2 linked regions of the Drosophila melanogaster genome follow. The protein of the gene in region 1 purifies or fractionates together with the protein of each later gene. This does not show direct contact. Each region holds a gene or a part of one and is shown in the gene's direction. Other genes may lie near its edges. The genes, in order: Bdbt and Ankrd49.

Region 1 (16,884 bases):
TTGCCTCTAGTTTGGCGCTCAATTAAAGCTGGCTGATGTGCTTGCATTGCATTGCATTTGATTGGGTTGAGTGGGTGTCTGCCAAGAGCGGTAGCAGCCACAAAAGCTCCACCTCATATCTGATGGAAAATCGGTTATGTGTAGCTGGGGGCCAAATATAAATAGCTGCCTTAGTCAGAAACTTTGTCCACAGAGATGGGCTTTTCCAAGATAATTAGATTACATGGAATCTGTGCCTTGCTTGATAATTACAATTACTTGTGCATTATTATAACATTTTATGATTAATTATTTGCAGTCAAGGGTCTGGATCACATCGCAGAAAACATTTTGTCGTACTTGGATGCCGAATCGCTCAAATCATCCGAGCTGGTCTGCAAGGAATGGCTGCGCGTCATTTCCGAGGGCATGCTCTGGAAGAAGCTCATCGAACGCAAGGTGCGCACAGATTCCTTGTGGCGCGGACTGGCCGAGCGGCGTAATTGGATGCAGTACCTCTTCAAGCCAAGACCGGGCCAGACTCAACGGCCACACTCATTCCATCGCGAGTTGTTCCCCAAGATAATGAATGTGAGTTGTCCTCGAAGTGTGCCGAATTATGCAATCGGTTTATTAAACCCACATATTCTATGCGTTTTAGGACATTGACAGCATAGAGAACAACTGGCGGACTGGCCGCCACATGCTGCGCCGCATCAACTGCCGGTCCGAGAACTCGAAGGGTGTCTATTGTCTGCAGTACGATGACGGCAAGATTGTCTCCGGACTGAGGGACAACACCATCAAGATCTGGGATCGCACGGATTTGCAGTGCGTTAAGGTAGCATTCGACATAATCAATCCATAAGATTCTGATTACTAACACACTGCCCGCCGAATTGCAGACCCTAATGGGCCACACTGGATCGGTGCTGTGCCTGCAGTATGACGACAAGGTGATCATCAGTGGCTCCAGCGACTCCACCGTCCGCGTGTGGGACGTCAATACCGGCGAGATGGTCAACACCCTTATCCACCACTGCGAGGCGGTGCTGCACTTGCGCTTTAACAATGGCATGATGGTTACCTGCTCCAAGGATCGCTCCATCGCCGTCTGGGACATGACCTCACCCAGCGAGATTACGCTGCGGCGCGTCCTTGTCGGTCACCGTGCCGCCGTCAATGTGGTGGACTTTGATGAGAAGTACATCGTGTCCGCCAGCGGGGATCGCACCATCAAGGTCTGGTCCACATCTAGCTGTGAATTCGTGCGCACCTTGAATGGCCACAAGCGTGGCATCGCCTGCCTACAGTACAGAGATCGCCTGGTGGTCAGCGGCAGCTCAGACAATTCCATAAGGTGAGGCGTGTGAACTTAACCAACCGACTTTCCGGCGCTGATGTGATTAATGATGGGTGTAGATAATTTCTGCGTGAATGTTGCGATTAGTAGTGGGAATTAACTCCGTCTGCCGTATCACAGATAGTAGCTTTAATTAACGCGTATTTCCTTACATTTTGTTAGTATCTGAATATTAATGAACTGTTCGTTTTTGTATATATTTATATATCATAAATATTATATTAAGTTTTCCTATCATTTTAAACTGCATAAAGAGATCATTTTCTTTTCTTTTACTTTGTCTACAACAATCTAATATAACAAATTTGAATTTTATTTTCTTTTTTTCAGACTGTGGGACATTGAGTGCGGTGCCTGTTTACGTGTCCTGGAGGGCCATGAGGAATTGGTTCGCTGCATTCGTTTCGATACGAAACGAATCGTTAGCGGTGCCTACGATGGCAAGATCAAGGTTTGGGATTTGGTCGCCGCCCTGGATCCAAGAGCAGCCTCCAATACTCTCTGTCTGAATACCCTTGTGGTGAGTCATTCGGCCAGTCCGTAGTAGCATTTGTCTAATCTCGATGGTGAACCCTTTTAGGAACATACTGGTCGCGTATTTCGTTTGCAATTCGATGAGTTCCAGATTGTTAGCAGCTCGCATGATGATACAATTTTGATTTGGGACTTTCTAAATTTCACACCCAATGAGAACAAGACCGGACGCACACCGTCACGTAAGAGAAGCCAACTTTCACCCCATTGATCTCTTGAATTATGCATAACGATTTCGTTTTGTTTTCTCAATTTCCATTGTGCTTGTTGCTATAGCGGCCTTGATGGAACATTAACATTTTGTGCAACGGCAGCTGCGCGAGTTACATCTACAATCCTCGAGCGAAGGAGAGGAGGACGACGATGCGGACGAGGACGACGAGGATGATTTTGAGGAGGAGGATTCTAGAAACGATGCTGGCGCGTTTATGGGGGGATATGTTAGGCACCGGGATGCTGGTGGTTCGGGATCCGTCACCGGTTCCGGTTCGGATCCCGAATCGGATGACCTGGATTTCGATATAGATGTTGAGAATATTAATGATTATGATGAATAATGAGTGAATGGTCGTTAACCAGCAGCATATACATACACACAGCAGACTTGTTTAAACAAAAAACGATGTTGAACCCAAGATACAGCGATCTCTAAGCGTCTATTTTACACACTACATCCACACACACACACACACACGAAACACAACCACATAATATGAATTAAATGAAGTTATAAAAGCAAACAAACAATAAATGCAGGAGTATACCATTTATGCAGATATTTCGCAAAACTGGCTGTTAGGTTTGTCGTGTACGAATGAAACAAAAATGAAAGATGCAAAAACGGAAGGACAGAAAAAGTAAAATTATATATAAGTTTATGTAGGCGCTGTAATACTAATCGAGGGTCAGTCTTTGAATCGCCCTTCGGATCAGTGGATCGATCGATTGGGCGTTATTTTAAGTGTTTCTTTAGCTCAAATACACAAGTATCGCGTTTAGGCAGCTGCCGCCTCAAGAATCGCAGCAGGAATCTTCAGCGCGGCCAGAAGAATCAGTCTTTAGCATAAATGTTAGTTAGAGTTGCATCATTGAAATTGGCAGAGCGCGTTGCCGTTTTGCACATTTGTAACCTATTTTACACGCCTTTTGCCTAATGTTTGTGTTAATTGTAAAGTAAATCTAAGCCTAGTATCTTATTGGCAATTGTAATCTAAGTTAACCGAAATACAAATATTTTAATTGAAAAGTTAATTGTGTAAAGAAGGACACGCAGCAGTGTCTGCAACTGGAAGTTGCACATCTTTCGAGCGAAGATGAATTGAAAATGGATCCATTGTACTGCAATATATAACCGATTCTTTGATTGATTGATCTATGCTAACTATAGGTTTTAGATATACCGATGTATGTAGAAAATAGCAAATTCCCAGGCAATTTCAACAATATAATTATATGTATGTATGCCGTTCGTTGATTGTGATCAATGGATATTTTACTATGTGTATTGCTATTTGTAAGTTAAGTTCCAATGCTATACTTGATCTGGATCACGATCACGCCGCTTCCGCGTTAACTAATGTATGTACATAACGTTTTACTTTAACAAAAGTGTTAACAAAAATATGAACACATACTCCGGATTATGTAAAACTGTTAGTGGAAAGAGGGCAGCATGTTAAACGATGGCCGAGCAACTGCTAGTGCGCGAATGGGCTTAGTATATGTAACATAACTAGAAATAATAATAAATTGTGTATAAATGCTAGAAAATTGTTTATCTTAAATGGACTCACCCAATTGATTAAATTTAGTGAAGCGGAAATGGGTAATAAAAAGTTTTACTAAAGAGCCATGAGTTACAATAAATGCATGCTAACATTTTTGTTTTGGAATAGAAAGATTAAAACCACTAGAATTGAATTGGGCGGTTTTATAATATTATATAACCGCATATTATTGTATTTCCTAAGCTCTGAAAATTTTCATATTGTTGCCCAATTTCTCCTTCGCACTCCCACCAGCTGCGTACAAGGTATCTGATAGTCGACTAACTCACTTGTTTTGCAAATAGATGCGTAGTCCATGCATTACATTTATGAACTAGTGAGAACAAAGTATTTTTTGTGAAATTCGCGATAGGTACATTTTTGACGGTTTTCTGGTCACATCGCCAAATCGCAAACTTTGCTTACTGCTAAATTTCGAAGCTCCCAATTTGCAAATATTCCAAAATGGACTGGTACGTGGGCACAGAGTGGGAGGACAAGAACCGTGGTCTGGCCAAGAAGGTAATTGGCCTCCAATTCACCGAAATGGACAAGCCCACGATAATCAGTACGGTGGAATTCAGTGTCAACAAGAAAGCCACCAACTTGGGAGGACGACCTAGCAAATATTTGGTCAGCGATGAGTCCGCTACGTATCCTCAAAAGCACAGCCTGGAAATGGGCACCAGCCTGACCGCAGTGGACTGCTACTTGGAGCTGCTGCTGCAGCAATTTGTGCCGGGTGAAACGGCAGCCTGTAGCATCACGACCAAAACCGGCGAACGAATAGAATTTGAACTGAAGCTGGAGAAAATTGTGAAGAACACTCAGGTGGAGAAGCTAAGCGCTGCAGAGATCTATGAGGTGGCACTACGTCTCAAGGAAAGCGGCGTGGCCACCTTTAAGACGTTCCCGAAATTCGCCTTTGATTACTTTGTGCGTGCCGCAAAGTTGCTGATCACCTACAAACCCTTCGATAAACTGACCAAAAAGACCAATGGCATCAACGGCCAGGCGGTGGAGGAGCTCTTTATTCAGATACAGACCAACCTGGCCGCCTGTTTGCTGCAGGAGAAACGCTATGAGCATGTAATCTACCACACGCAGTTTGTGGAGACGGAGGAGAGTCCCAGCGAGAAGAGCATCTACCGGCGTGCACTCGCCTACTATCACCTGAAGGAGTTCGCCAAGGCGCAAGCCACCATCGAGCGAATGCCCAACTACGAGGAGAAGCGAGAGTTCAGCAAGCTGCGCGACAACATCGCTGTTAGCTGGAAGGATAGCAAGGCCCATTACAAGGAGGTGGTGCAACGTATGTTTAGTTAGTTCCCATTGATAACATTGCGATGTCGTGTTAACCAATGGTCTTTATAAAATAGCTTATGTTAAATGTACTACTTTGATTTTCTACTCTTTCTGTGGTCAAACTTGGCGCGCTTGTTTTTGGGATCGAACTTGGCTCTCCTGTTCTTGGGGTCGAATTTGTCCTTCTTGTCCTTGCGATCGAACTTGTCCTTACGATCGTACTTGTCCGTGCGCTCAGATTTGTCATTCTTGTCCTTGGTATCCAGTTTAGCGCGCTTGTTCTTGTATTTCATTCCGCCGCCCAAACTAGGCCGCTTTCGGGAGGACTTCGCTTCCATTTTGAACAGTTCTGCAAAGGAAACATTAGTTTATATTCTACGCAGCATGTAGCACAACTCACCTTCGTCTGGTTCCTCGCCGACTTCCTCCTTGTAGTACTCTGCATCATCCTCGGGATCGCTGTCAGTCCGTCCCTCTGCCGCCCTCTTGGCAGCCCATTTTTCATCCTTCTTAAGCTTCAAGTTGCGGGCACGGTTCTCTGCCTGCTCCTTCTTGCGCTGCTCCTTCTGCTTTCGCTTCTTTTCGACCAGCTTGCGCAGGGTTTCCTTTTCGTCCTCTGTCTTGACCACATGGTCGTGATACAGTACTTCGCCCGTCAGAAGGCCCTCTTCTATTTTGATGAGCTGCATGGTTAGTCGAGGTCCGATCTCGTGTAGCTTTATGGAGCTCTTTTTGTCCTCCAAGTTGCCCTTGCTTTTAAGAGTCTGTGCCAGCACCACATGTGATTGCTCATCATCTTCGGCCTCTGATTCGGAGGCATAGCCGTCCCTGAAAATCAATATTATGATTATTTGATGGAATGAGAACAAACGGTCATTTCCTACTTGGTCACAAAGTCCACGACTTCGTTGCACTTGCCCAGATTGGGTACCGTTCCTTTGACGATTTTCTGGACCGCCCGCTTTAAGCCAACCGGCACCACCTGCACGGAGTAGTGCCGCATCTCGACCAGCTTCGTGTCCGGATTGTAGGAGAACAGGACGCAGCGACGAATGGTGCCGATATTAACCGTGGCCAAGTTAATTGAGGGGAACATGTTTTGGAACGTGGTGGCCATCAGCTTAAGGTGCTTGCCATCGCCACTGAAGTTGTTCATGATGACGAGCGGAGCGTGCTTGAAGTGATCGTTGTCAATCATCTGCTTTTTGCTTAGCGAGATCACATCTCTGGCCAGGGTGAACTGGTGAACCTGACAGAGAATAACTTCGCGGTAAAATATCCAGTATAAACTAAGCGATGAAACAAACAAACCTTGAAAGTCAGGGAAGGACCGCGCGGCAAGCGGACCACTTTGAAGGACAGCTGCGTGGAGGCCTTGTTGAAGATGCCCATGTGCGAGACGTGGAAGAAGCTGCTCAGGCTGACAAAGTCCTTGATGCGGTTCATCCGCTTCTCGCGCAGATTGCTGGCCGTAAAGGGCTCCATAATGCGGCGGAAGTCCAGGGTGAGGTCCGTGATGTACGGACAGGCGAGGCCGCGATGGATGACGAAGGAGTGCGGCGCCTCCACGATCTCGCTCGGCTCGCTGGCCTTGAAGGCCGCCGTGCGCGTCTTCGGATGCACTTTCTTCTTACCGCCCATGTTTCAATGTTTTTGTTCACTTTTCTCCCGCACGTGTATGGATCAGTGTGGCTGCTCGCGCGGAAAATACCAAACACCCACTCCGACGTCTGCCTTTGGTCACTCTAATCCCATTTTAAATTTCGATTTTCCGCCCAATTGAAAGCACTTCTGTTTTATTTAAATTATATTTATTTAATCACACTTAACATAGCAAACACAAATGATGTTATTTCGTTTCATTTATGCATTTAAAGTTTTACAACTGTTTTTGTTTGATTTCTCTTTATCAGCTAGTTTTACCAAGTGGCCAATCGTTTAAAATGTTGCGAGAAACCGAAGAAGAAAATCCGAGCTGCAGTGCTGTGGTAATGAATTTGCGTTTAAGTCGAAGAATTTCCGGTTGTTTGTTGTTGTTCTGCTCGCGAAATTACAACTATATATTTATGTTGCGAAAAATTAATAATATTAATATTTTAATATTAGCATATATGTATATTTATATAAATTATAGTTCTACAGCTTAAACTGAATTTGGAGTGTTTAGTTTTGCTTGCTTTCTTTCCGCGGCGGTCGATTTATGCGATACTCATGGATCTGTATATATATAAAACTTCAGTTTAAACCGCAGTTAACTACAGCCGGATGTTGTTGCTTTCGATTCTTTTGCTGCTGCTGCTGCTTCTGATGATGGTGGTGGTGTTGGTGGTGGAGAGTGGCGGCTCAGATTTGAATTATCAATTTATGCGCACATGACAAACTGTGGCTGACAAACGCATAGACATCTTGTGCGGTCCATCGGGTGTACGCTGCTCCTGATCTTGGTGTTGCAGTTCTGGCCGCTGCTGCTCCTCTTGTAGTCGTAGTTGTAATTGCTGTTGCTTCTGTTTATGTTGCTGTTCTGGCGGTTGCGGGGAATAGCGAAAATTGCTTGGGGCGGTCACTGACAGCACTGTTTGCGCACATCGGCGGTGACAGTCGGCTTTACGTCGATGGGCTCCACGTTCGACGGGCGGATGACGTCGCCTTCCGGCGGATCTCTGATCTGTTTCTGCGACACAATGCGATAGATCTCTGAAACGGGATTACGAGACATCATTAGTCGTGCTTCGTTATCATTAATCTATTGACTTTCAATGAAGCGTTTAATCTACAGTATTTAAATATTCTTAAACGATCGATAATTTGAAAGCAGACTAGCTAAAATATCCTGAACGACCCACCTGTGAGTATGTTCTGGAATGCCGTTTCAACGTTCGTTGAGTCGAGGGCCGAGGTTTCTATGAAACTCAAGCCGTTGCGCTCGGCAAACAGCTTCGCCTCGTCCGTGGGCACGGAGCGCAAGTGCCGCAAGTCGGACTTGTTGCCCACCAGCATGATGACGATGTTCTGGTCGGCATGGTCGCGCAATTCCCGCAGCCACCGCTCCACGTTCTCGTAGGTCAGATGCTTGGCAATGTCATAGACGAGCAGGGCCCCCACGGCACCGCGGTAGTAGGCAGAGGTGATGGCGCGATAACGCTCCTGGCCGGCCGTATCCCAGATTTGCGCTTTAATTGTTTTGCCATCGACCTGCGTTGGATGCACAAGAAGGATGAAACAAAGGACAGCATTAGAATGGTGCCAGTAATTGGCAATTTCGCCACGAAATGCCTGCGGCGCATTCGCTTTGAAAATTAATATACAAGCACTGGCATTCAGTATTCACACATAACCAACATAAATTAGAGCTTATGGATAAGCTTTTAACTCTAGTAAGAGAACCCAATTTTTGAAATTTCTTACACTAGTTAGAAAAAACGCAAGTAGCGTAAGTTATATTCATTGAACCCATTTGATATACTAAATATTAAGATGACCTACTAAGCTACTTCGAAAAGATGGCACAAAGTATTGTTTAACACAAATCCTTATACATACGTAATATATAATTGTTATTGACCACATAAATTTATTATTTCAGCACAAGTGACAACTATGATGTCAACATTTTGGCTAATCCCGTAGGATGGCTTTTGAAATTATGCAAGAAAGCCAATTGGCAATCCATTATTTAGTGAAATTCTCGACACTTACTCAAATTGAACAAACTTTTCCCCCCAATTTTCCGATAGACGCCTCAACTACGTGTCCTCCCACCGAAACGCACACGCAAGTTCACCCGTGACTTCCCCCACTGTGGGTGCGGTGCGGTAGATGTGTGGGGGTGGAGCTCCATGGGCCACTCCACCCTCGAATTCTTGGCCAGCGTACTCACCTCTATGCTGCGCGTTGCAAACTCAACGCCAATCGTCGACTTGGACTCCAAGTTGAATTCATTGCGCGTGAAACGTGAGAGCAAATTACTTTTGCCAACACCGGAGTCACCGATAAGGACAACTGCAAAGGATTAGAGGGAATTAGTGACATCGACATTGGCATTGGATAATCGAAGACCCCCAGTTGCATAATTTATGTGGGTGTGTGGTGTGGCGTGGCGTGGCATGGCCCCTGTCTTGTGTTTTACGGCCGGACAGAATGGTCGCTGGTGGCCCGGCTAGGTCATGTCCTCCTTTCGCCGCTGGCACGGCGCACCAAGGTCAGCGAGTACATAAAACCGCCATGCTCGGGGGATTTCAGGCCATGGAAAGAAATGTTTTATGATTGGGCCAGTCGACGTTAGGGAGTTCGTGTTATTGTGCTTCATTGCCGATAGCAAACATTTCTTGGATAATTGAGTGGCGGATATTTGAGGGAGCAAACAAGCATCCCAAGTTGATATGCTACCCGATAAAAACTATCCACTGACCTTTTTACGACTCCATTTCTTTTTGATAAACTTTCTTATGTGCGGCCAGAGTTGTTGGCTATAATATATATTAACTGATATCTAGACACTGTGTTTACTGACTGTCTGTCTATTAGTTTCCATTTTTGACACCCTTTTCGGACATTGTTGATTCAGCATGTTTGCTAATCCATTCAGAAAACAACAACTATAACTCATCAAACACCTTTTCGCTCTATCGCTATGGTCATCGCTGCACGGAGAAAATTCAAATAGTAAAATGGTATCATATGAACACTGATTCTTGAGTTCGAAGTTTCGATTGCAATGCCATTAAGATAGGAACTAAATATTTGAAACGACTTTTGAGCTAAGTCCAAGTTTTTGACTTAATTTAGATAGCTAAATTAGAGGGTATAGGGTTTTCTTTCAGTGTGGACAGCTGGGAGCAGCGTGGTTACAGTTATCAGCGAGAGAGCTGAGTCACTTTGTTTTCTACTCTCTTTCTCAGCGCTAATAACGATCTTTAAAGAGAAATTGCACTTAGTTAAGCGGATGCGATGAGAAATTAAAAGGGGAGGAGTGGTAATCGACGGTCATTACTTAGTAGTGGGATTGGCTCGAATAACCCGAAACGGCCCATTTTCAGTTATGTGATTATGCGCTTATCGGTGAGTGGAATTCTTCAGCAGTTATTGGCTGTGAGTCATGTCCGTTTAATATTGTTTCATGTGTGAAATTTGAGGCCTCATCATGCATACCGCACACTGACGCATTATTATGATGACTTTTTTTTTAACTTTTTGTATACTTGACCCAAAAAATACGGCAGATTAAGTTTTAAATATTTTTTTAATGACATTCAACAGTTGCTCAGCTGTGATAGCTAGCAGAGATTTCCAAGCGCAATTGGAATTTATGGCGTAGTAGCAAACGAAGGGAACAAAGAAGAGCTGAGAATTTGTGACCTCTGTTCATACATATCTACACATAAACGGGGGAAGATGCGGGATAAAAGTCTTGTTTTCTACCTGCAAATACATCATTTTGCTCTACTGTGCTTCAAACTTTCAATCGAGAGCGGGTGAAAAAGAGAGCGCGCGTGAGAGAGAGCTACTAAACGAAGTTACAAGAAACCATTGCAAAAGCCAGCTGTACAGAAATCATAATACCCACACTCTCGCTCTATTTACTGGATATCTAATCACTTTAGCATTTCGAGTGGGTGGGCAAGCCTTAAACCTACTTTACAGAGCGAGCGATTATAAATACGATCTGCTTGGCTTTTGTATGCAACGTGGCGAGACCAACGGCACTGTAATGACAAAACAAGCAGTTAACGGCAAAGTACGCGTACTCCAGTCCGAAAGAGTACCCCAAAGAGATGGAGATAGGCAGAGTGAGAGCGGGAGAGCCACCAAAGGGCATCCAACTGCAGCAGTAGCAACAACAACAAACTCGGGGGGCGTACTTCTTATTTTGGGAATTAATGACACTCACGCAAACAAACACACCACATACCATCACATGAACTTTGGGCTCTTCGAGTGCACTTTTTGTTATTCTCCAATTAGTTTCAATTAGTGCTATTGAACCACTGTCTCTCACGGCAGGGAGAGGAGAGCCTGGAAGTGCGGCTCCTCCCCTCCTGATCAACCTTCCGCGATCTTCGACCAGCGGCTAGTATCATGTTTATAATTACCTTTGAACAGATAATCGTACTCGTCTTCTCTTGCACCCATTTTGCTCAATTTGTTTTGCTATCGCTCGCTCGGTTCGATATCCTTTGGAAATCCAGTTCCGTCCTTTTTGTTTTGTGTGTGCGGGTGCTAAACGAAATCCAATAATCCCTGCGCGCCGCCGATTTCTTTAATGCGTTTGTCGTCGGCTCACACACTTTACACTTTTATTTGCAGTTGTAGTTGTAAAGAAAGAGAAAAGTGTATATATCAGTATTTAAGTGGCGAAATCGGTTGCTCTTCCAGCTCGGATGCGTTCGAAAATGCTGGCAGGACTTTTCCGGCAATTGGAGCAGTATTAATTGGAGATTTGCAGCTGCTTGCAGCGCATTTATTTGCAATTTTCTCTTACACGAAAACTTAGTCACTCCCAATAACGTCACGTTATATTTCCAACGAGACTAGAGATGTTGAAAAATATCGGTACATCGACATTATTTCGGCGATACTTATCGATTTTCTTAATGGCGATGTAAGGCGATAGTACAATGTCACTTCTATTTTTGTTTATATGAACATTGTTTTATACTCAAAAGCTTTAGAATTAGAATTAAATTTTTTCATAATTAAAACACATTAGGTCTAGAAAATAAATCTAATGTTTGTTTCCTATTTAAAAAACTTATTTGTTTTATTTTAAAACACCAACATACTTATATCATTATCGATGTTTTCACATCGACTTGCATCACTAAATTAACGAGATGGATGTTTTAGAGTTACCAGACGGTACGACGAATTATCATGAACTGCTCTCGTTTCATCCCGACAAGCCTATCGTATTTTAAAAAAGCTGAACACATTTTCTAGGGATTATCCCTAGCCCATTTAACTTATTTCCAACTCAAAATGTCTTGAATACTTAAAACGTTCCAACCTAAACAGAATCGTTCTCCCAGTAGCAGTAACTGTTTCTAATATTATCTTATTAAAAAAATTAATTAAATAGAAAACATTTCGATCCCAAGTAAAAACCCCCTGCTTACAAATCAGAGTAAAAATGTGTTTATTTTAATATAAAATACTTGTAAAAAACGATAAATTAAGTATAATGTGCAGCTAATACTTCCGTTGATCTCTAGTGAGTTTAAAAACTCTATTCCTATTGCACTTAAATGCGAGCGCGTTGCAAGGCCATGGCTGGATAAATGAGCAGAAGTCCGCCGGCTATATAGGTGATCCTGGAGCCAACGCACCAGAAGGCTATTAAGGATTAAAGAGTTTAGAAAAGGTATAATCCTAAGACAGCTGAGGAGCTCACCAATGCATCCCACCACGGGGCCCAGAGCTCGAGCCAAAGCTCCCAGTGAGCGGAATATGCCCAGTACTGAACCCTTCTGGTCATCGTTTCCGTATTTGGATACGAGGGTGGTCAGACAGGTGACAGCGAAGGCTGTGGAGATTGCGAACAGGGTCATGCCGGCGTACAGCATCCGACTGCCCTCGGCTAGGCCGACTACTACGAAGGCGGGTACAATCAGGTACAAACTGAAGATGGCATAGCCTTTGATCTTCGCCTCGGGCAGCCGTCGGACCACCGATCCCTGCAGCAAAGTCATGATTACACCTAGAAAAAGACACAAATTTGATAGGGAATATTGTAGATTATCAACTTGCTCCATACCCGTTGTCAAAAACATCTTCGCCTGATCCATCGAAGTGTAACCGAATTTGTGGTACATCAGAAATGTGACGGTGAACTCCAAGCCGGAATACAGAAAGAGATACAAGAAGTATACCAGGCCAATGGATCGCAGTGCCGCAATGTCTTTCTTAGGCACATTTTTGATGGCAGCAAATCTGTCAGTGGGAGAATTCTTTTGAAATATGATTGTAAAATCCAGACATAATCATTGGTAATAATCTTCTAGCTAACTGGACTCAATTCCCTGTAACTACAATTAATCAAAAGCAATCTAGAATTTACTAACTGATAAGGCAATCAAACAAACGTGTCCGAGAACCCGGCATGATAATAGTGTCTATCAAACCAGTCAGGCAAGTCCGGGTGGCTTGCAGTTCTCACCGTATGACGATTTCGATTTGATCACACGACAGGTTTTCGAGACATGCTAATTAAAACATTGAATTACCTAAATATGGCCGAAAAATTGAGCAACTGCAGGCCATAAGACAGTGCAGATGATATCTCCTTAACACGTTTCTCCTGCGAAAAGGTCAAACAATTAATGGTGTTGGGAATATATTTAATTTAGCCAACCGTACGCACCTTGGGCAACGTTTCCCGCAGACAGCAGGCCAGGACCACAAGATCTCCAACTGCCAGGCCAAACGCCAGCAGAGAGGGCAACACAAACCAAGTACTTCCACTTTTATCGGAGAATATGGCGAACAGGGCTCCAATCATGGGCCCCACAATAAAGCCCAGCGAGAAGGCCACACCCACAAGGGCCATACCGCGTCCACGGGTCTTAACGCTGGACACATCCGTAATGACGGACATGCACAGGGATATGTTGCCCTTGCTAATTCCGCCCACGAAGCGGGCCAAAACGAACAGGGCAAAGTTGCTGGAGCAGGCCCAGATCAGATAGGATAACGCAATACCACTCTATAGATGAAAGAAGACGTAGCTTAAGGAAGGTTTACTTATTTGTGGCTTAGCTAAGGAGTTTGAATTTGACGAATTCCACGCTTTTGGATTGAACTCGTAATAGCATGAAATGTTGACCAAGCCAAAAAGAAAACTAACAAGACTAGTTTAGTGTTTAGTGCACATTAAAGCATTGAGCACTGGGATTACCTACCGCACAAGCCAGCAGGACTGGTTTCCGTCCGTAGTAGTCCGAGAGTCCTCCGACAATCGGACTGGCCACGAACTGCAGGAAGCTGAACATGGAGCCGAGAAAGCCTCCGAATAGCACCGATATGTAGCGATCCGGGGCGCCCAGGAGCTGCTGGAACCAGCGCACCCGATCCGTGAGCACGGCATACAAGCCGGAGCTGTCGTTCTGGCGATAGTGCTCCAACAGCGAGGGCAGCAGCGGCAGAATGATGGTGAAGGCCAGTAAGTCGAAGAGCAGCGATACGAAGATTATGTATATCATGGGATCACTCTTCTCCGGCTTTCCATTCTCCGATGCTTCCTTATCCAGCGCTTTATTGTTGTTGTGATGGTGGCTTCCGGTTTGGCTGTGGCTTTGCTTCTCCATGGCAGCGGTTCCATTGTGGCGACTCCGTAGGTCGGCCATCTTTGCTGATTTCGGGTGTTTAGCTTGTGCCGTGATTGCGTGCGTGTACGGGTGTTACTGCAACATAACTGTATCAACGGAACCACAACTCCACCGACAACTCTTGGCCCTCTCGAGAAGCGGCCAGCCAAAGCGAAGCCAAAGTGAAAGCTGAACAGCAACAGCTGTTCCAAGGCGGCCTATAACGAGCAGACGGCATTCCAACCTGTTGCTTGCTGCGGATATTTGAAATAAGGGCGCCAAAATGAGTTATTCAAACATCTGTAATTAATTACTTTTCTTATCAAAATTACCAACGAATATTATGTTGGTGAACATTACTAATAGCATAGGTTTAAGTTGTAAATATTTAATTAATTTATAAATATTTTACAAATCATTGTTTCCTGCTTAAATAGTTAAGAACCGGATTTTGATATACATATATAAATTAAGTTTATGATTCGGTAGTTTTCGCCTATTTGATTTATTTATTTTATTACAATCCTAGTGATAATATCTTTTTAAAAGATAATGCAGTCAGATATTCTCTGACACAACTTTGTATTATAATTTAAAACATACCGCTTAAAATTGTTATCGCCTAGTATCGAAAGTCAAACCTCGATAACACTTAGTAAATATTCGATATACCATACCGATAAGTCGGCGAAATAATTGCTCATTAAAGTTTGGTAAAAAGTTGTTTAGAAGAGAAAAAAGAGCGTTATAAGATGTCCAAAGTGACCGTGCAAGACATTGAGGCGGTGGACGACTACTGGGGACCAACATTCCGTTCGATCCTTGAAGGTGACTGCGAATAGAAGCAATTGGCACACTTTGTTTACGCCCATTTTCCTTTTTTCCCGGACAGGCAACAACACTAAGCAGATTGGCGACCAACTGGAGCAGCGGATACGGAGCCATGACAAAGAGATCGAGCGGATCTGCAATCTGTACTACCAGGGCTTCATCGATTCAATTCAGGAGCTGCTCCAGGTGCGCACGCAGGCCCAACAGCTGCACAACGAAGTGCATTCCTTGGACACGTCCCTTCGCCAGATCAGCGCCTCGCTGATTCAGCAGGGCAATGATCTAGTGCGGGCCCGTCAGATCGAATCCAATCTGGCCAGCGCCATCGAGGCACTCAAATCCTGTCTGCCCGCATTGGAGTGCTACATGAAGTTCACACAGCAGGCAAAGAACAAGCAGTACTACCAGGCGCTGAGAACTCTGGAGACTCTGGAGACGGAGCACCTAACGCGCTTGAAGACACACAACTACCGATTCGCCACCCAGATGCAGATACAGATTCCCATAATCAAGGAAAACATCCGTCGCTCTTCCGCCTCGGACTTTCGAGAGTTCCTCGAGAACATCCGGAAGTTTTCACCCCGCATCGGCGAGCTGGCCATCACACACACAAAACAGCTCCAAAAGCGTGATATCAACGCCATCATTGCCGAGCACATGCAGCAGATGAATGGCGGCGAAGCCGGCGGAGCAGGTGCTGGCGGGGATGATGATGGTGCCAACGTTAGTGCCCAGGATCTCATTGACTTCTCCCCCATCTACCGCTGCCTACACATCTACATGGTGCTGGGTCAGCGGGAGTACTTCGAGAAGGACTATCGTCAGCAGCGCAGGGATCAGGCCAAACTGGTGCTTCAACCGCCGCCCAACATGCACGACAATTTGGAGGCCTACAAAACGTACATCTGTGCCATCGTTGGCTTCTTCGTGGTTGAGGATCACGTTAAAAACACGGCGGGCGATGTCGTGACCAGCAGTTATTTGGAGGATCTGTGGTCCAGCTCGTTAACCAAGTTTGTCAACGAAATCAGCATGAGTTCTTCGTCCTGCACCGATCCTAATATCCTTCTGCGCATTAAGAACCTCATTATGCTGTCCATCAACACCTTTAAGTGCTACGGTTACACCGTGAACATCCTCTGGGAACTATTGCACAACATGCGGGATCATTATAATGAGGTGAACGTTAAGAAATTCTATAAGCCATTCTGTTGTTTGTAAAACTCTTGGCTTTCCTTTCCAGGTTTTACTGCAACGCTGGGTACATGTGTTCCGCGAAATTCTCGACAAGGAACAGTTCCTGCCCATGGTTGTACAAAACACGGAAGAGTATGAATGCATCATCGAACGATTCCCCTTCCACTCGGAACAGCTTGAAAATGCTCCGTTTCCGAAGAAATTCCCCTTTTCGAGAATGGTGCCGGAGGTTTATCACCAGGCCAAGGAATTCATGTACGCCTGCATGAAGTTCGCCGAGGAGCTCACCCTATCGCCCAACGAGGTGGCCGCCATGGTGCGCAAGGCGGCCAATCTGCTGCTCACACGAAGTTTCAGTGGCTGTCTATCTGTGGTGTTCCGCCAGCCGAGCATCACGCTGACGCAGCTCATTCAGATCATAATCGACACGCAGTACTTGGAGAAGGCAGGGCCGTTTCTGGACGAGTTCGTGTGTCACATGACCAACACGGAGAGGAGCGTATCTCAGACACCATCGGCCATGTTCCACGTGGCCCGGCAAGATGCCGAGAAGCAGGTGGGCCTACGTATTTGCTCGAAGATCGATGAGTTCTTCGAACTAAGCGCCTAT
Region 2 (16,751 bases), on another chromosome or scaffold:
TGAGACGCGAGAGGCTCCTGCTGTGTTCGTTGTGTTCCACATGTATCCGACGACTGGAACTCCATGACTGACATTTACGTTTTCGCCTCGCCAGGACGAAAGCTTAGAGCACGAGAGCTTTTCGGTGGGAAAGCTCGTGCTTCCGCTTTTCCACTTTTCCAGTTGCCAAGTCAAGTCGGGTTTTTTGAAGTTTCGCTTTTTCAGTTTGCTGGCCAAGTCGAAAGTCGCGAAACTCTCCGGGCAATTACGTTTACTTTGTGGGTGGGTGTAGCGGGGTGTAGGTGGGTGGTAGTTGGACGGTAATTGGGGGTTGGGCGCAAGGACGAGGGCGGGCTTAAGGACACCGGTTTTATAGAGTTGTCAAATGGCCCCAGGAATGGCCAGTCAAAACATCAAAATTCACTCGCAATTGGCCAAGGGCAATGCGAAAAACCAACAACAAGGAGCAAGTGCCACTAGGCCAACCGGGAAACAGGATGGGGGCATTGTTTTGAAAGCGAAAGGCCATAATGCTTGCACGCCACAATCCCGAGCCGCAGTCAAAGCCAAAGTTGAGTTTCATTTTTGGGGTCGCGTCGCCTCATCGAGCCAAACATGCAAACACGCACGGGCCAAAGCCAAAGCCGAAGCCCAAGGAAGGCAAGGTGAGGTCCTTGTCATTTAACTCACTTGTCGAGTTGACCTTTGTTCGCTTGGTTGCCGTGCTCCACCATAGAGCTAATGCCCAACTGCCACGCCTTGAGCTTGATCCATAGCAACTTGTACTTTTGTGTCCCCTCGCAAAACCCCCCCCCAAACCGCTCGACAAAAAAAGGGGAAACCCTGAAATATACAGCTAACCCCCCTTCACCAAACACACTTGGCTCTAAATACAAACTTGCCCCCCCCTGCTGATGGCCATGTGCATGTTTGATGAGCTTATCAAGGCTCCGGGATTATTGAATATTTTCAAATCGATATAGCCGTGCCAGCCACACCGTTAGTTGGCACCTTAATTGCCAACTGAATAAATCATTGACAATTTTGCAATTAGTTCGAGAACCTCAACTGTCCGCTCAAGTCGAAGGATTCTGCGGTCAAAAATAAACCATTTGCATTGGCCCAAAAGTAGTCAAGCCAAGAAATTGGAAGTTTTCCCATCGTCGACTTGGGAAATCAATTACTCAAATATTTATGTCCGCATGTGGAATTCGGGTATGCTGAAATGCACTTGTCTTGAACTCTGCCAGTGAATAAATGGCAATCGAAATTGCTGAGCGGATTAAATAACTTTCAGATGTGTGAATACGAGGGCATGGGTTATGGCCTATATTTGCACTGCCGTATAGGTTACAGAACGCACTTATTGTTTAGATATTTGAATTGATTTCATAGACAGTTAGAGCAGAAACGGCACTAATTAAACCAAATCCACTCAAGAGCAAATTGGTAAACAGCAGTTTGAAAATTAACATTGCGCAATTGTTATGCATTGATAAATTGATGATTTATTTATGAATTTTCTGTATTCCAATGTTATTTTGGCATAGGCCAGCTATTATTTTGAACTCTGATTTTGATTTCTAGTTCACTCTAAATTCACGTTTTAATTACATAAAATTATAAATGTTTTCAGTGAAATATTTAGCGAATTTGCTTTGAATAGAACGTTTATTTTATGTTATGGTAATCTCCTAAAACTATTCAATAAAATGAAAGTTATTATTGAATGGGCGATTTAAAACATTTGCAGGCACAGCTGCAATCAGCAATCAACATGAAATAGTGTGATAATGTTAATTGAAAAGATTGTGGCTTGTTATGGATTTCCATGAAAAGAGAAAAAATGCATAATGTTTTATTGTAAATATATAAATATATTCTGTTAAAATGAAATTATAAGTTTTTTAAAGAATAGTATATTTAAATAAGCATAAGATTACGGAAGTAACTGCTTGACAACCCTTTCATATTGGCATGACATTTGAATTCAATGAGTCTGCATAGAATTCGCAAGCAAAACCCTTGCCAAGCCATAGAATTAAATGTAATTACTGAGCCAACATTCGGCCCCAAGTTGGCAATGTAGATGCCCCACTGTCGTGGTTGCACAAATGCATCCGACCGAGCCAAGAGTAACTACCACAACGAATGTGGCAACACTCAGGCATTGAGCAGGAGCAGGGTTCAAGTTTCTCTTTGGCCAGGAAAGAACCACAAAAGATTACCGAGCGATGAGCTGCAGCTCATCATCTTCACATCCTTTCAATGGGCGCCGCTAAGTCCTTGGGCACATATGTATATGTATGTATGTGTGGTATGCACAAATATGTGTGGAACGTTTCATTTTTTATACATCCCTTATTATTATTTCCACCGCACCCCCCTCTCCCCACGGTGCGCTCAACTTTTCTTCTCTTGTTTCGCTCTACCTTCTTTTTGGTTTTGTGTTAAATTGTTGCGTTAACCAAGCCAACCAGCTTCGGGGGCAATCCTTGTAAAAAGTTTAGCATAGCAGAAGGCGCACACAGACATGCTCGCAGCCATTCACACAGAGCCACCAACACAGTCGCACGCCTGGCATGCGTTTTTCACATTGTTTCATGCGGTTGAATAAACACAGGCGCACACACACACGCACATACCGTCAAAAGGCACGCACACACACACACACACTCATGCATTTTATGATCTGCACAAATAGGACCAAGAGAGTAAGAGCGCGAGGGGGAAAGACACACAGAGAGAGAGAGAGAGAGAGAGAGAGAGACGCAAAGACACTTATTCGCTCGCTTGCCTCGACAGGCTTACAAAACAAACATTGCGGCATGTTTTCTGTTTGCACACACTGCGTATACGTACCATGGTCCTTACATTTCCTACCTGCGCTTTGTCAGTGCCCAGCAGCACCAACACACCGACACACTACCTTCCACACAAACAAATTGCAGTCACGTACATATGCACATTACTCAGTTCGGCCTGGACAGCAGTTGTGGCACAGTCCTTAACCCTTGATCAGCTGGTAGATTTTAGTTTTCATCGTCGGATGGTAAAAATATATGTTGTTGGTATTATGTCATTGTATTGATATAAATAATATTTATTAATATTAAGCAAACAAAACAACCCCAAAGGTGTCTAAAGTATTTTACAATCGATTGTAACTTTTTCTTGAAATATGATTATGTAGCATACTTTTCAGGAGAGTCCTTTTAGGGCAGAACTCATCGCGCTCTGAAAACATATCTCGATCGTAGTGAGTGCTCACTCCATGTTGAAACTGCATCTTAAACAAGTTTAAATTTAAATAAATACTTTCAGAAATGAAAAATCACAAACTAAGCAAACTGATTTGCTTGATCTAATTTCAGACGCCCAATTACAACATATTCTTTAGGGCTACAAAAACTTGTAATTCGAGTCGCCTGAAAGTTTAAAATGTTAATTTGATGCACTGGGGTGGGATGTCTGCCAATCCCCAATGTTTGGGTTAAAAGTGAACTAATTTACATAGACCGCATGGTACAATGCGCAGGCGGCCGCATGGAGAAGGTAACAAAAAGATTCATTAGGGCCAATCAGTGCAAAGCGAGTCGTGGCGAAGGACATGCGGAGAGTACCTGGCCAAAAGCGGCGGCTTGACGGCTGGTCTGGGTGGTTCAGGTAGTTTCAGTACGTTTAATGGTGGCCTGAGTTGGGCTGAGGTGGTTCTGGCCAAGCCGTGTGTGTGTGTGTGTAAACGTAAACAGCTCGGCCAGGCTCCGTTGTTTGCCTTATAAATACGCACGCTCTACTTTAAACAAAAGCGTAGTCGCCCTATACCATTCCGTATCCCTATCCCAACACCCATCCACCCACTCACGAACACGTGCCTGTCCTGTCGTCCTCAGTGTTGTGCGTCAGTATGTGCAAAACAAATTTAAACTTTACACCCAAAGTTGTTTTTTATGAGCGAAACTTTAAATAATGGAATTATCTGACAAGAAGTTGGCCAGAGGACGAGGCCAAGGAAAAGCGCCGGAAGACGGCCAAAGTGCTCAGCCCTAAGCGATAATGAAAGAAAGAGCTAACTGATTGGGCCAATATAAAGTTTGCAGTCGCTTCGAAACCAATCAATGGTGTAATTTATGCCGCTATTTTCTCCATGCCCCCCCATGGCACCCCAACCAGCACCATCGCACATCAGCATATCAAAAAGCGAACCAGGGCAGCACCACCATCTCCAACACCAACCCCACTTTCGGCCCGTTATTAAATATTTATTTACACTTCAGCTACAATAATTCATTGATGCATCGAGCGCCTGGCACGACACGCTTTCTCTTTTCGCCACCGACTGGTTGGGGTCGCTCCAGAGCTGAGCTGAACAGGTTGGGTCGCTGGCGGGCACGACCCGGCAACGTAAACGTCAGGACTAACCTTTGCCCGATGTCCTTCAAAGGCGCCGTCGCTGTGAAAGCAACAGCTGTGCGCTCTCTCTCGGCCAGCGAGCTTCGTCCTGCGAAGCTTTCTTCGACATCTCACTTCCAGTTTCGAACTTGGCCAAAGCCCTCTTATCAAAGCTTTCGAAATAGGCGGATTGAAAGGCGGCTCAAGCGAGGGCCATTCAAAAGTTAACCAGTTATTTAGTAGTTTGGAATTTAATTGTAAATAATACTGATTTTTCCATTGAAGTCATTTTATTAGTTTTCATTATTTAGCTTACGAAATATTCTGTAATATTTATAAATACGTCTCTTCTAACTATAGTACGGACTCAATAGTAAATAAAATTTTCTAAATTAAAAATTTTTATTAGCAAAATGACATTCTCGATTTACATTGAAATTTCGTAGCTTGATGGTTGGTGGCTTTCTCGTAAATTTGTTAAATATCTCCTAGACTGGACAATAAAATTTGAATTGAAACCTATGAACACAAACAAACATACCCTTAGTTTTACGAATTGTAACCTACGGAGCTAATCTTTTCTGAAATTAATAATCTGTTCATGCTTTCGAGTATAAACTTTAAAAGTGCTAAGCCACGGGTACAGAATAATAGTCTATAACGTGAATGTTTTTGGCAATAATCAGTCGTCAAATTCGAACAATGGTTTGCCATTGGTGTCCCAGGTGTTTTTGCATTTCTTAAAGGCACAAACCAAATAAAGAGCTGAAATAAGAAGCTATTTAGTAATGGAATTCAGAAGTCGATGCTGAGTAAACTCACTTGCTGCTTCCCATTCGGATTTCGAGAGGGTTCCCACCGACCTGCTTCGCTGTGCTCCCTGAAAGTTACTCACATGGGCGAACTCTTCATCATTCTCGCAGCGCTGTGGCTGCACCGACTCCAAGCCGGACATTCGCTGCAGAAGATGCCGCCCGTGGTGCAGATTTTCCTTGTAGTAATCCGCAAATGTGGAGCGCTTCAATAGCTGCAGACCGTATTTTCTGCCCAGCTTGACCAGCGTGGGAAAATGCACTAGGAACTCGGGGCAATCGACAACGCCCTCCAAGTGAAACTGATACTTGGCTCCGAAAAGCGGCAAAGGATCCGTTTCGCAGTCAAATTCAATGCTGTACACATCGTTACCGAAACGCCGGGCATCTGGACCGGCTGCCCTTAGCCTGCGGATGATCTCGTAGGCATCCGGCATTGTGGCTATGAAGAAGCCACCGGGTTTCAGACACTCGGCTGCATTCCGCATCATGCAATCTGCCTGCGCCATTGACTCGAAGCAATAGTGAAAGGCAAACTGACAGGACACGAGATTCAGCTGAAGCGAAGGATCCTTATACCGTTCCCGCAGGCGCACTAATGTGGAGTCGCAGGCAAAAAACTCCGCGGTAAACTTATTCGCAAATTTCGACTTCTCCGATCGCTGCAGGATGTCCTGATATCGCCGCTGGCACTGCTCCACCGACACCTCAGCGATGTCGGTGCAGATGAGGTGGGAGATGGCAGCCTTCTCCCATTTGAGAAGGTCACCGCCCTTGCCGCAGCACATGTCCAGAACTCTGAGAGCATCACCCATGCGTTTGTTCTGCTTAATCTGCGACATATACTCGTTGATCAGCTGGCTCTTGATCCAGTTGTTAAAGTTCCTCATGAAGAATATCTTTGACTTCTGACGATCCTTGCGGCCCGCCTCCTTCAGCTCGTTGTAGTGGTGTGCCACCACATGTGTGTTGGCCGCTCCGCTGGCAGCCTCCGTTTCCGGCTCATCCTGATCATCTGCTCCACTTCCATTGCCCTTCCCGCCAGGCTCATCGTAGTACTCCCTCGGTGATTTACTAACATGCGGCTCCTGATTTGGTGCAGACGTGGTCTCCGCTTGGCCCTCGCTCTCCTCGTCGTCCGACAGGCTGACTGCTTTGTGTGCGCGGGCGAACTGCTCGTCTGCCGCGTTTTGTTCGTAATTAAGACTCATAGTCTCTATTAATTTTCTGTTTTGCCGGATGACCAACAGTCGTTGCCTATCGAAGTTATCGGGTCAGTTAGGAATGAGTGCACGAGTGCTATCGGCACTCGATGTTATTTCGCGCGGAAAGTATTCAGAATAAGAAATATACATTTTAGATTTAAATTTATTTTTCTTCCTAATTAATTTTTTATAAACCAATATTCTCTAAACCATCCTCATTAGCTACTTTTAAGATTAAAGCTAAACAGATTTTAAAAGTTCCATCACTAGTCAAGCACTAGTTAACAGTGCTGTTAATGGAAAACATCAATCAGCTGTTGGTAACTCATGCATTTCTTAACTTTTTAAATGCGGTTGCTTGGAACTTTGAATAAATTTGTTAAATTATTGAATTATTCCCTTGCCCGGAATTTTCCAAAACGCAGCATGGCCTGCAGCAGATTCGAGTACGTTAAATCCTTTGAGCAGGACGACAGCATACTGCCTAATGTGTGGATAGTCATACGAATAGACGGCAAAAAGTTCCACAAGTTCTCCAAGACGCACGATTTTGAAAAGCCCAACGATGAAAATGGTAAGAAAAAACACTCATTATAGTTCTTAATAATCCCATTAAATATTCGCTTTAGCTCTCAATGTGATGAATGCTGCTGCCACGGCGGTGATGCAGGAGTTTCGGGATATTGTCCTCGCCTACGGTCAAAGTGATGAGTACTCCTTTGTTTTTCGCAAAGAGACGGCAGCGTTCAAGCGACGATCCGCCAAACTGCTCACCTACGTCACCAGCTTGTTCTCCTCGAGCTATGTAATGCAATGGTCCAAGTGGATGAATCTGCCATTGGCCTATGCTCCGTGTTTCGATGGTCGCGTTGTTCTGTATCCTTCGGAGCAGAATCTAAAGGACTATCTCAGCTGGCGACAGGCCGATGTGCATGTGAACAACCTGTACAATACCGCCTTTTGGAAACTCGTTTTGGAAAAAGGCCTGACGAACCAGCAAGCCGAGGCGAAACTCCGTGGCACCTTTTCGGCGGACAAAAATGAGCTGCTCTTCCAGGAATTCGGGATAAATTACAACAATCTGCCGGCAATGTACAGAAAGGGAACGATTCTGCTGAGAAAACGCGTGATATTGGGTGAGAAGAGCAGGCAGGCCGTGGTGCCGCTGCACGAGGATCTGATATCTTCGCAGTTCTGGAAGGAACACACCGAAATATTGGGAAAATATGTGCCAGGCACATACGACGCACCACAAACTTTTCCCCGATTGGTGGAGATGCAAATAAATGGCAAGGATGACAATGAGGCGGAGGAGCCACAAAATCTGGCTGGTACCAGCTGATATAATAACGAATAGTCTTGCATTTTTAAAGATTAAAGTTACGATACATCTAAGGAAGTCGTTTCGGAGATTGAGGATGCGGTGCCCAGGCTGCTGGAGTGAAGGACAAACGGATGATCCGTAATGAAGAGTAGCTAATAGTTGAAAGTTCAACTTATGGCATATATTTTAAGATTAAATCTACACTAAGCTCATAGAAAGACTATTTCCTACTAGTAGTCGTCGTCGTCATCGTCATCGTCATCCTCACTTGGCTTGCTGGCAACGGAGCCGTCTGCCAGCGGTGGTCGCTGCACCATTGCTGCCGCTTGCATGCTCATCCACTGCTGCTGCTCCTCGCGCGCCTGCTCCTCGCGTGCCTTGGCGAACAGCTCCTGCTGCTGGCGCAGCAGCTCCTCCTCCGGAATGCCCAGGTTCTCTAGGCGCGTGCTCTGGCGCCTTCGCTTGGCTGCCACCTCCTTGCAGTCGTGCAGAACGGCCTCCGCCTCTTGTTTGTAGTCGTGAAAACCCAAGCGTTCCAACGCCTCCAGGACGTGCTCTGCGTTTATCGTCTTCTTGTTGCGCATGTTGCACACCTCGTTGGCCTCCGAACTGATCAGATGAATGAACTCTGAGCAGCAGTTGAGTATCAGCTCGCGACTCTCGTTGGCCACCCGCACCGTGGGCACCAGCTCCTTGATGATCTTGTTGATGCTGGCCCGTGGCAGGGTCAGCTCGTCGTCCTCGGCGCTGGGCGGCAGTAGTTCTTCCTGCGGATTCGACATGGCGTCCTGGTTTCAAGGAACAAACAAACAAACAAACTTGGAAGCAGATGTTTTTCTCGGATTTACTAGTATAGTGTGCTAGAGTGGCCGTTTACTGCTAACAGAAAAATGTAATCGAAAAATTATTGTTTTTGTAAATAAATGAAATCATTAATTGATTGAAATGAACTATATAAAGCATATATAGCTAAAAATAAAATATATAAATGATGATATAAAATGATGTATATCATTTATGTATTCAACACAAATTTAATGGCTTAATAATCTTTGATTAATTTGATTTTGATGAATATTATAAATAATACAGCCTTTTTTTAAATGGCAGACTTTTCAAATAAAAGAATAATTTTTTTATAATTCCTACCATTATTTATATAAATAGTTTTTTTTTTTTTATTTGAAAAACCAAATGTACTGTTCTTTTTAAAACTCCACTCTTCGTTTAGTATATTTTTAAGTGTTTAGTATTTTTTTAAGTGTACTTAAGCGGCTAAGCAACGGTCACTTTGAGAAATAGAAAACAAAAAGTTGAGCTGTTTAAATTCCGGCTTATTATTAATATATTACCACAAAATGGGGGACTACGATTCCGATGATGAAAAATCACAGGTGGAGAAGCTGCGCCACGCCAAAGTGCCGCGCGGAATGTTCGTGAGCGGCTGGGACGACGATGCCGACGAACTGATCGAAGAGGACAAGAACCCACAAAGTAAGTAGAATACATTTTAGAGAAATAGTTTAATTAAACATCATCATAGGCAGCATTGAACGCATGATTCTGTGGGCGGTGAACGAGAACCGCATCAGCGAGGTGCGGGAAATCCTAAAACTGGACGCAGACACCGTGAACGCCAAGGATAACGACGGATACACGCCGCTGCACCGAGCTGCCTATAATAACTTTGTGGATATGGCCAAGTTGCTGCTGCAGTACCATGCCAATCCCAACGCCCGCACGGAGCTGGGATGGACGCCATTGCACTCCGCCTGCAAGTGGAACAATGCGGATTGCGCCCATTTGCTGCTGCAGTTTGGCGCCGATGTAAATGCGGAATCGGACGGCAAGCAGACGCCGCTTCACATAACCGCCACTGTGTCCAATTGTCGGAATACGGCCACGGTCCTTCTGCTGGACCGATACATCCAGCCGCGCAAGGAGAACAACTCCGAGGAACTGGCCTCGGTGATTGCCCGTCGTACTGGCATGAGTTTTCCCATTTTCGAGTCCGGCGAGGAAGCCTACGACTGCGAAACGGGACTGATAGATTAATCACTTAATAGTCAAACTATGCGCATACTTATAGAATAACTAATATAATATGTTTATTTCATAAATAATGTTTTCTGTCGATGGAATTGGTAGACACCACGATTTTCAGCTGGCTGGCGCTGGAGCCCTCACGAAATGCTCGTAGAATGACTTAGTGTAGTTGATCATCTCGTCCTGCATGGCGGCGGGCACAAAATACGGATTGCCCTGGCCACCCTCGATGGTTCCCCTCGCCGTGTAACGCATGTAGCTGGACACGGTAGTTTCTGGCGGCAGGACAGCCCCATCCTCAATTACACAGCAGTCTTTCAAAACACAGCGACGGCCCTGAAAGATGGTAAAAGTAAATGGATTACAAGGGTATAACAATAAGTAATAGCTTACTATGATGGCATTCTTGCCGATGTACACATAGGATCCAATGGTGGCCGCCGAGACGACTGCTCCTTCGCCAACGAAAACATGCTCACCGACGTGCATGGGAAAGAAGGCGATTCCCTTGCTGAATTGTTTGTACGGCGGTCGGATGACGGAGTTCTTGCCAATCACACAATATCTTCCCGTCCGGACATTGGCCAGATCGCCGCGAATGATGGCGCCGCTCTGTACGATCACCTTGCCGTTCAAAATAATGTTTTGGGAACCACAGAGCACCGTGTGGCGACTAACTTTGTTACCCGAAGCCTGTAAACAATCAGTTTTTTGGTCATGATGAGGTCATCTCTTAGTGCTTAAATGGAATCCCAAAGCGGAAGTCAGTGCGAATACTTGCCGTCTCTACGTATTCATCTTTGCTGTAGTAGGTATCCGGAATTTCCATGATTAATCAGCAGTTTTAAAAACTATTTTTAAGTAAAGTAAATAAAATAGTGAAACTGCACTTGCGAAAATATTTCGACCAGCTGATGTGTGTGGTCGCAGTGTATAGTTGGTAAAATACCAAATGTAACGCGTTAAGTCAAGACCTAAACCACATTAGCTTGGCGCCAAATTTGAATTCAAATTCGTTGCATTCCATTGATTTTCCATTGAAGAGCTTGGCATTACATCTAATTATTAATTAGACACACGCGAAGTTTTACAAATTACAAGCTGCCTTGGCGGGTGCATAGAAAACCCAGGTGTTTAACCCACTTTGACCCTGAACTTTTAGCCATAATTCTCAAATCACGATGCACATCTAGACAGCTGCTCTTCAGGCGCAAATCTGCTGGCAGAACGAAAAGAATGTGCATAATTGAACTCACACAGCTGTTGGCTGAAAGCGCAGTAAGCTCCGCCGCCTCCCATTGACGCACCGACCTTCCAAAACTTTTAACTTCCCGCTGTCCGACGCTCCAACGAAGTTCCAATTAATGCGCTCCTTAATAATCGCGAGACCCAGCCCATTGGCTTAACCTTCGCGGGGCACGCTCGAATGCCTCAAGCGGCGGCAGCTCTGGCAGCATTTTAATTTGTTTATGTTTTCATTACTATTTTCTTCGTTTGGCTCTCCACATTTTGCAGAAGTAAGCAAAGCTATGGATTTGCGGGCTTTTCCATATATGATTTAACTACGCTTAAAGAATGTCAATTAAACAATAAAGAAGACTATGTAAAGTTGAAAGGGTATACTAGATTCGTTAAATAATATGTAACAGGTAGAAGCAAGGGTTTCCGACTAAATAAAGTATATATATTCTTGATCAGGATCTGTCCGTTTGAACGTAGAGATCGCAGGAACTATAAAAGCTATTTGAGATAAAAGCTAGAAGGCTGAGTAAAGGGTATCTAATAGTCAGAGAACTCGACTCTCTTGTTTTTTTTTAATCATTTTCCATACATTCTTTAACAGATTTTACGAAAATATTAACTAAACATGGAGAAATAGTAACGAAATTTGTTAGCGCAGAAATCTTTTGTTATATTCAGACTTTTAAGAACAACTGCCTTTCTTAGCTACAATGAATTTCCCCACCCCACTTGACCTTCTTGGTTTGAACTATCTGAACTTTGCCATTATTGCTTTTCTATGCCAATTACTGCAAACAATTGTGCCAGTCTATTGAAGCTTTGAAGAATCCGCCAAAAGCAAAGAACACAAATCGTTTAACCTTCGGCGAGAAAAACCGCATCGGAATCTATTAATCTGTTTGGTGTTTGCACTTTTGAACTTAAGGTTAATAAACTTGAACTTGAATAATGTTTGGAAATTAATTGAGTTGTGCACACAAACAACTCTTCAATCGGTTGATCAAACAAATTATTCCAATTTGTTTCATTTCGGATTTAAAAATGGTGCCTATTGTTAAGTGTGATTTTCAGCAAGGCGAAACTGAGATGAATCGGTTATTAATTAAGTGTTTGATTAAATATACGAAGCAGCTTCAATCATTTCTCGATGCTGGTGATTAAAGCAAATCTAAACGATAAAGTGATTTAAGATATAGGGAGATATGAAATCCGAAATCAACCTAGGTACATACTTTTGTAACCTCAAGGTAATTTTCTGTAATATTTGTAACTTTCCCTGCCAGCAATTAGAAGTCCATGGCCGCGAAGGTCTTGACTTCGTCGTAGAACGTGTAGTCAAGTGTTTGCCTTACACTAGTCCAACAGCGATCGAATAAACTCTTCTGCCACATTTCGACCTTGGGCAGCCCACGAAGGAGGGCCGCGAGCTATGTGTGTGTATGTAAATATTTACAATAGCCAACTCATCCGCGACCTTGATAATTGGTTTCTGTTGTATCAAGTGGCTGTTGTTGGGAAAACTCATTATTAAATGGCCAGCTAATCAAGATCAAGAAACACGCACTCTGCCCTTCCCATCGCCACCAAAAAAAGACAATCGCTCACGATCGCATTGATCTTGATGGCTTTATGGCTATAAAATTTTTGAATTGTTTTCTCCGAGACAAAACCGGCGGCACTAGATCGCATAATTATTGAATGGAAATTACACTGAAACTAAAACAATGCCAGTGCTATCCAGTTAGATAGTCATGTCATGTTTAATTGAATAATTGCAAATGGCTTACATATATACATATGTGTATATATATATGTGATTTGGCCAAGAACAGGCGAGTTGTAATAATGCAATAATGAAGGTGAAACGACAAATGAAATTAATTGGAATTAGCAAAATTGTGAAAATACTTGTTGCATTCAATGCGCGCAAGGTAAGTTGGAGTGAAAGAGTCAGTCTGAGAATGTTGCATAATATTTTCACTTTTTTCCCCCAGCTGACCGACAAAAACAAAAAGAAAAAAAATTAAATCCCGCAAGTGAAACGAGTTTTTTGTTCAAGTCTTTTGTTTCGATCGATAACATGCATCTATTGACAACTCGCAGATAATTTCCTATGTTGGTGTGTATGCTGCACATGTGTAGTTGCATATATTCACTAAGTTTCAGATTGACAGAACAAAGGTGACTATCAGATTCTCGGAATGTGAGTAATTCAAGGATCTTTTGAGTATGCACTTTTCTGTCCATAAATGGCTACCCAATTTTGAGACTCCACCGAAAATTCTCTTAATAATTGATGTGACTAACATAATAACTAAGCACAACGAATTTCCATACTGTCCCATTTCACGCTAAAGTTGTTTTAAAGTTTCCTTCTTTAGAGACTCATATAGATATTTTATTGAAATTATAATAACATAGCTATTAAGTAAGTTTCATTTCTCAGAACGACTCCTTAAGTGTAAAGTTAAATTTTTAGAAAATGTGTTGCGTGATATATTATGGTTCTACCTTAGAACCCCATTAACCATATGCATTGGAGTGCCGCCTCCAGCTCTCCAGCGACCAAGCACTTTTTGGTTTCTATTAATTACAGTCATTACAATTCCATGTGGTGACCAAATGGCTTCCTCATGTCAAGATCCCAACGCGAAACGAGTAGCTCGCGATTAGCAACGAAGTTTTGAGAGCTCAGTTCAAAAGCCGAGTTCAAGAACTAACTAACGATTGTCTGACAATGACAGTAGCTCAACGGTTTGCGAGGGAGGGGGTATCCATAACTCTGTTGGATTTGGAGTTGGAGTTGCCAATGCTTGAGCTCAGCGCGACCAAACAAATAGCAATGAGAAATTGTGTGAATCGAGCAACAAATGAATGCGCTTTTGATGTGGCGTATATTTATAATACAAATTATGGGTACGTATATAACGAATTTCCCACCCACAGCCCCCTCTGGGATACGCTTGAATGGGCGTGGCATGCTGCAATTTGTTGCTTTTTGCCCCCAAAAAGCGACCTCAGATTGCCCAAGTTGTGCTAATTAAAACATTAACTCTGCCCCGAGGCTGAATTCGCATTAAATAACGATTGCCCGTGATTTTTTTTTTTGCTTTTTGCCGTTTTTTTTTTTACTTCTTATTTGCCAAAATCGATTATAATCAAATTTCAAGTGGCCCCCGTTCGGTACACGAAAAAATCAAAACCAGTAGAGAGTTAACTGTCAAAAAACCAACGCACGACAACGCCAGAAACAACATTGCTGACAACAGCAGCTACAGTGTGGAACATAGTTGTAAATCACATTGTTGAGTTCAGGACAGCTGATCTTTGCTGTGCTGACCAATTAAGTGCCATTTCAAGAGGCTTGAATGAACAGAATTTTGACAAGGAGTTCTTTTAATTAGGTCATATCCTTTTTTTAAAAACTATACTTTAAATATATATATGTCATGATGCATTTCTCGTAGCTTATTTGCCTTACGTTAATGCATTGTTCCAATTTTGATTGCTCTATTGGACTTCGCTTACTCTTTTTATTTTTTTCTTTTTGCATGCGGGCGCTAATAGTTTTGAACCTGACGAGAGACCTAAAAAATAAGCCAAATTCAATTTTCAGCTTTGTATGCCATGGGCAAGGCTAACCTCGAGCCACGAGCAGCGATTTAGATTCAGTCTCAGTATTTGGATCGGTCTGGATTTCGGGTATTAAACATATATAATTTGATTCAATTTGGTTTCTTGTTGTGACTCGGCTTGTTTCCACTTCCTTTTCGCCTTTCAGCGCGCTCGGTAAAATATGATATAATATAAAATGATATGATATCGGTATCGGTTTATAAGCCCTCCAACCCACTTAGCTGATAAACAGGTGATTAAGTCTCTTGTGTCTGTCAGTTGATTGAACTTTAAAGGTTTTCCAGCGACTCAGTGTCACATTCGTTTGGTTTCTCGCTGGGTGGCCCACTATTTGGTAATTGATTGACAATGATTGACAATCAAACTCCAGTTTGTATGAGCATATATTTCCATATAGGTAGCGTGCTCAATGGCTGGGCTTATTATTGTATCCAAGGCTTCCGTGCGAAGTGTGCCTCGGAAGTTGTTAGTGGGTGGAAGTAATTAAATTCGATTTTAAACATTCGATAACAACGAGAGTGGCGGTCAATGGTGGCTATGTAATTTTTTTGTGAGGGTTCTGTGAACTAGTGGCAAGGGTATCGCATCCGAGGTCAATCAGCAAGGGAAAACCTGGCCATACTTCTTACAACTAAATACTTTTGAGCTATTTTAAGAATTTATATAAGTAAGCATATTTCAAATATACTGATTTATATTTAAATACTCCTCATTTGTATATATAAGTTTTAGAGTAAACCATTTTTGATTACCAATAAATACAATCAATGAAGATAACTTTTGATGGATTGTAGTTCTAAACAGTGATTTTATTTAATTCAAAATTACCAATTCTTCTCATTGCCACCTCGTCAAGGTCGCACCTGTGGCGCCCGAGCACCTTTTAAGTGCCCCCCTTCCATCAACTGCCACAATTAGCCTCCAGAACCACCCAAGTCGTGTGTGTGTGCCGCCGCCTGTCACATCATCAACGCGCTCGTCAACAAAACAAGCCACCGGCCAAAATTGTATTAAAAATTAATTAAACAAAAAGCTGAGACTAATGTGAAAAACAATATAAAACACATTTGGCGCTTGCACTTGACCTTCCTCATTGCGAGCACTCGGACCAAAGAAAAAAAAAAAACGAAATGTATTAAATGTGGGAATTCGGGGGCTGAAAAGGCGGCAGGCATGCCGCATGCCACGTAATTCGTCGGTAGCCACTGTTTTTGCTGGAATTTCTGAGTTTGAACTTCATGAATTTAATTTGTGCGTAACGTATATTTCGCTTGTTTATAGTTTGTCGGGCTGAAATCAAGGCAACTGAATCGACTGAATTCAATTTCGGCGACTGTCGGCCGGCTTACATGGCGTATGCGCAACTTGATTAATTTATTACTCGGCGCATGTCTCTGAGTGCGTATGTAATTGTAATTGACATTCAAGTCGATTACTTCCTTATTTGGTTTTAAGTCAATTTTAGTGACGCATAGTTCGCTTCACTCGGGTAAACCTTTTGGAGCGTGAAATAAACATATTATTTTATCACTCAATTAATAATAATACAAAATACAGAAAATCTTAAGCCGTTTGCAACATTTTACTAATCATAGCTTATTCATAAGCCCTGCAAATCCAGTAAGTTATTATAATTTTTAAAAGCAATCTGCTTATTTGCCATCGCAAGCACTGCGGCTTCCATTAAGCCCATTATAATTATACTACAATTACCATTCCATCGACAGACAACAATCTCCCATCGCAGCACATTTAATGCACTATCATCGCACTGAACGGCAAAATCGAGAAGACCTTGAACTTGAGACGATTGCAAAGTAACTCCGAGAGCATCAGCACTCGCTTTATTTCCATTATAATTTTCCATTACACTGCCCTTTCCCTTTTTTTTTCGTGGTATAAACCTGGGGATATTTTGTATCTGCTTTTTTTTTTCTTCTTTTTGCCGCTGACAGCTGGCAGTTGAGTTATGAATGCTTTTAGTGGAGGTTCGCCGAAACTGAGTCAGTCGAGCAGTTCCAAAATCGGCAATAACAGAAACAATGTCCAACCGAAAGTGACCGCCGCGTGGTTTGCATTCCTGATATGGGACACGTACGGTGTCCGTCGTTTTTT

What was found.
Region 2: the proteins of Bdbt (region 1) and Ankrd49 purify together in Drosophila melanogaster (affinity purification with western blotting, with the first as the bait; one study listed by BioGRID). This does not show direct contact.

Annotation. Positions count from the first base shown.
Region 1 is NT_033777.3:21,106,008-21,122,891, reverse strand, and holds Bdbt (bride of doubletime), read left to right. Parts: upstream 1-4,035; 5' UTR 4,036-4,107; coding exon 4,108-4,968; 3' UTR 4,969-5,035; downstream 5,036-16,884. Other genes in the region: slmb (supernumerary limbs), read left to right, coding at 299-570, 641-820, 885-1,339, 1,673-1,862, 1,923-2,058, 2,153-2,172; ppan (peter pan), read right to left, coding at 5,037-5,296, 5,348-5,775, 5,832-6,196, 6,259-6,588; Rab11, read right to left, coding at 7,508-7,641, 7,791-8,139, 8,825-8,946, 11,037-11,076; rtet (tetracycline resistance), read right to left, coding at 12,185-12,276, 12,335-12,640, 12,698-12,873, 13,167-13,240, 13,304-13,645, 13,842-14,285; Sec15 (secretory 15), read left to right, coding at 14,999-15,074, 15,139-16,256, 16,321-16,884. UniProt on the Drosophila melanogaster protein: Functions in planar polarity establishment and circadian rhythms by promoting the activity and localization of dco/dbt.
Region 2 is NT_033779.5:14,999,661-15,016,411, reverse strand, and holds Ankrd49 (Ankrd49), read left to right. Parts: upstream 1-8,980; 5' UTR 8,981-9,070; coding exon 9,071-9,206; intron 9,207-9,255; coding exon 9,256-9,767; 3' UTR 9,768-9,829; downstream 9,830-16,751. Other genes in the region: Rnmt (RNA guanine-7 methyltransferase), read right to left, coding at 5,054-5,136, 5,194-6,394; THG (tRNA-histidine guanylyltransferase), read left to right, coding at 6,815-6,962, 7,018-7,730; NC2beta (negative cofactor 2beta), read right to left, coding at 7,943-8,494; DCTN5-p25 (dynactin 5, p25 subunit), read right to left, coding at 9,873-10,094, 10,152-10,451, 10,540-10,587. UniProt on the Drosophila melanogaster protein: Required for regulating the establishment of planar cell polarity in the wing. Forms a complex with Bdbt which likely functions in the regulation of planar polarity by promoting the activity of Dco during planar polarity establishment.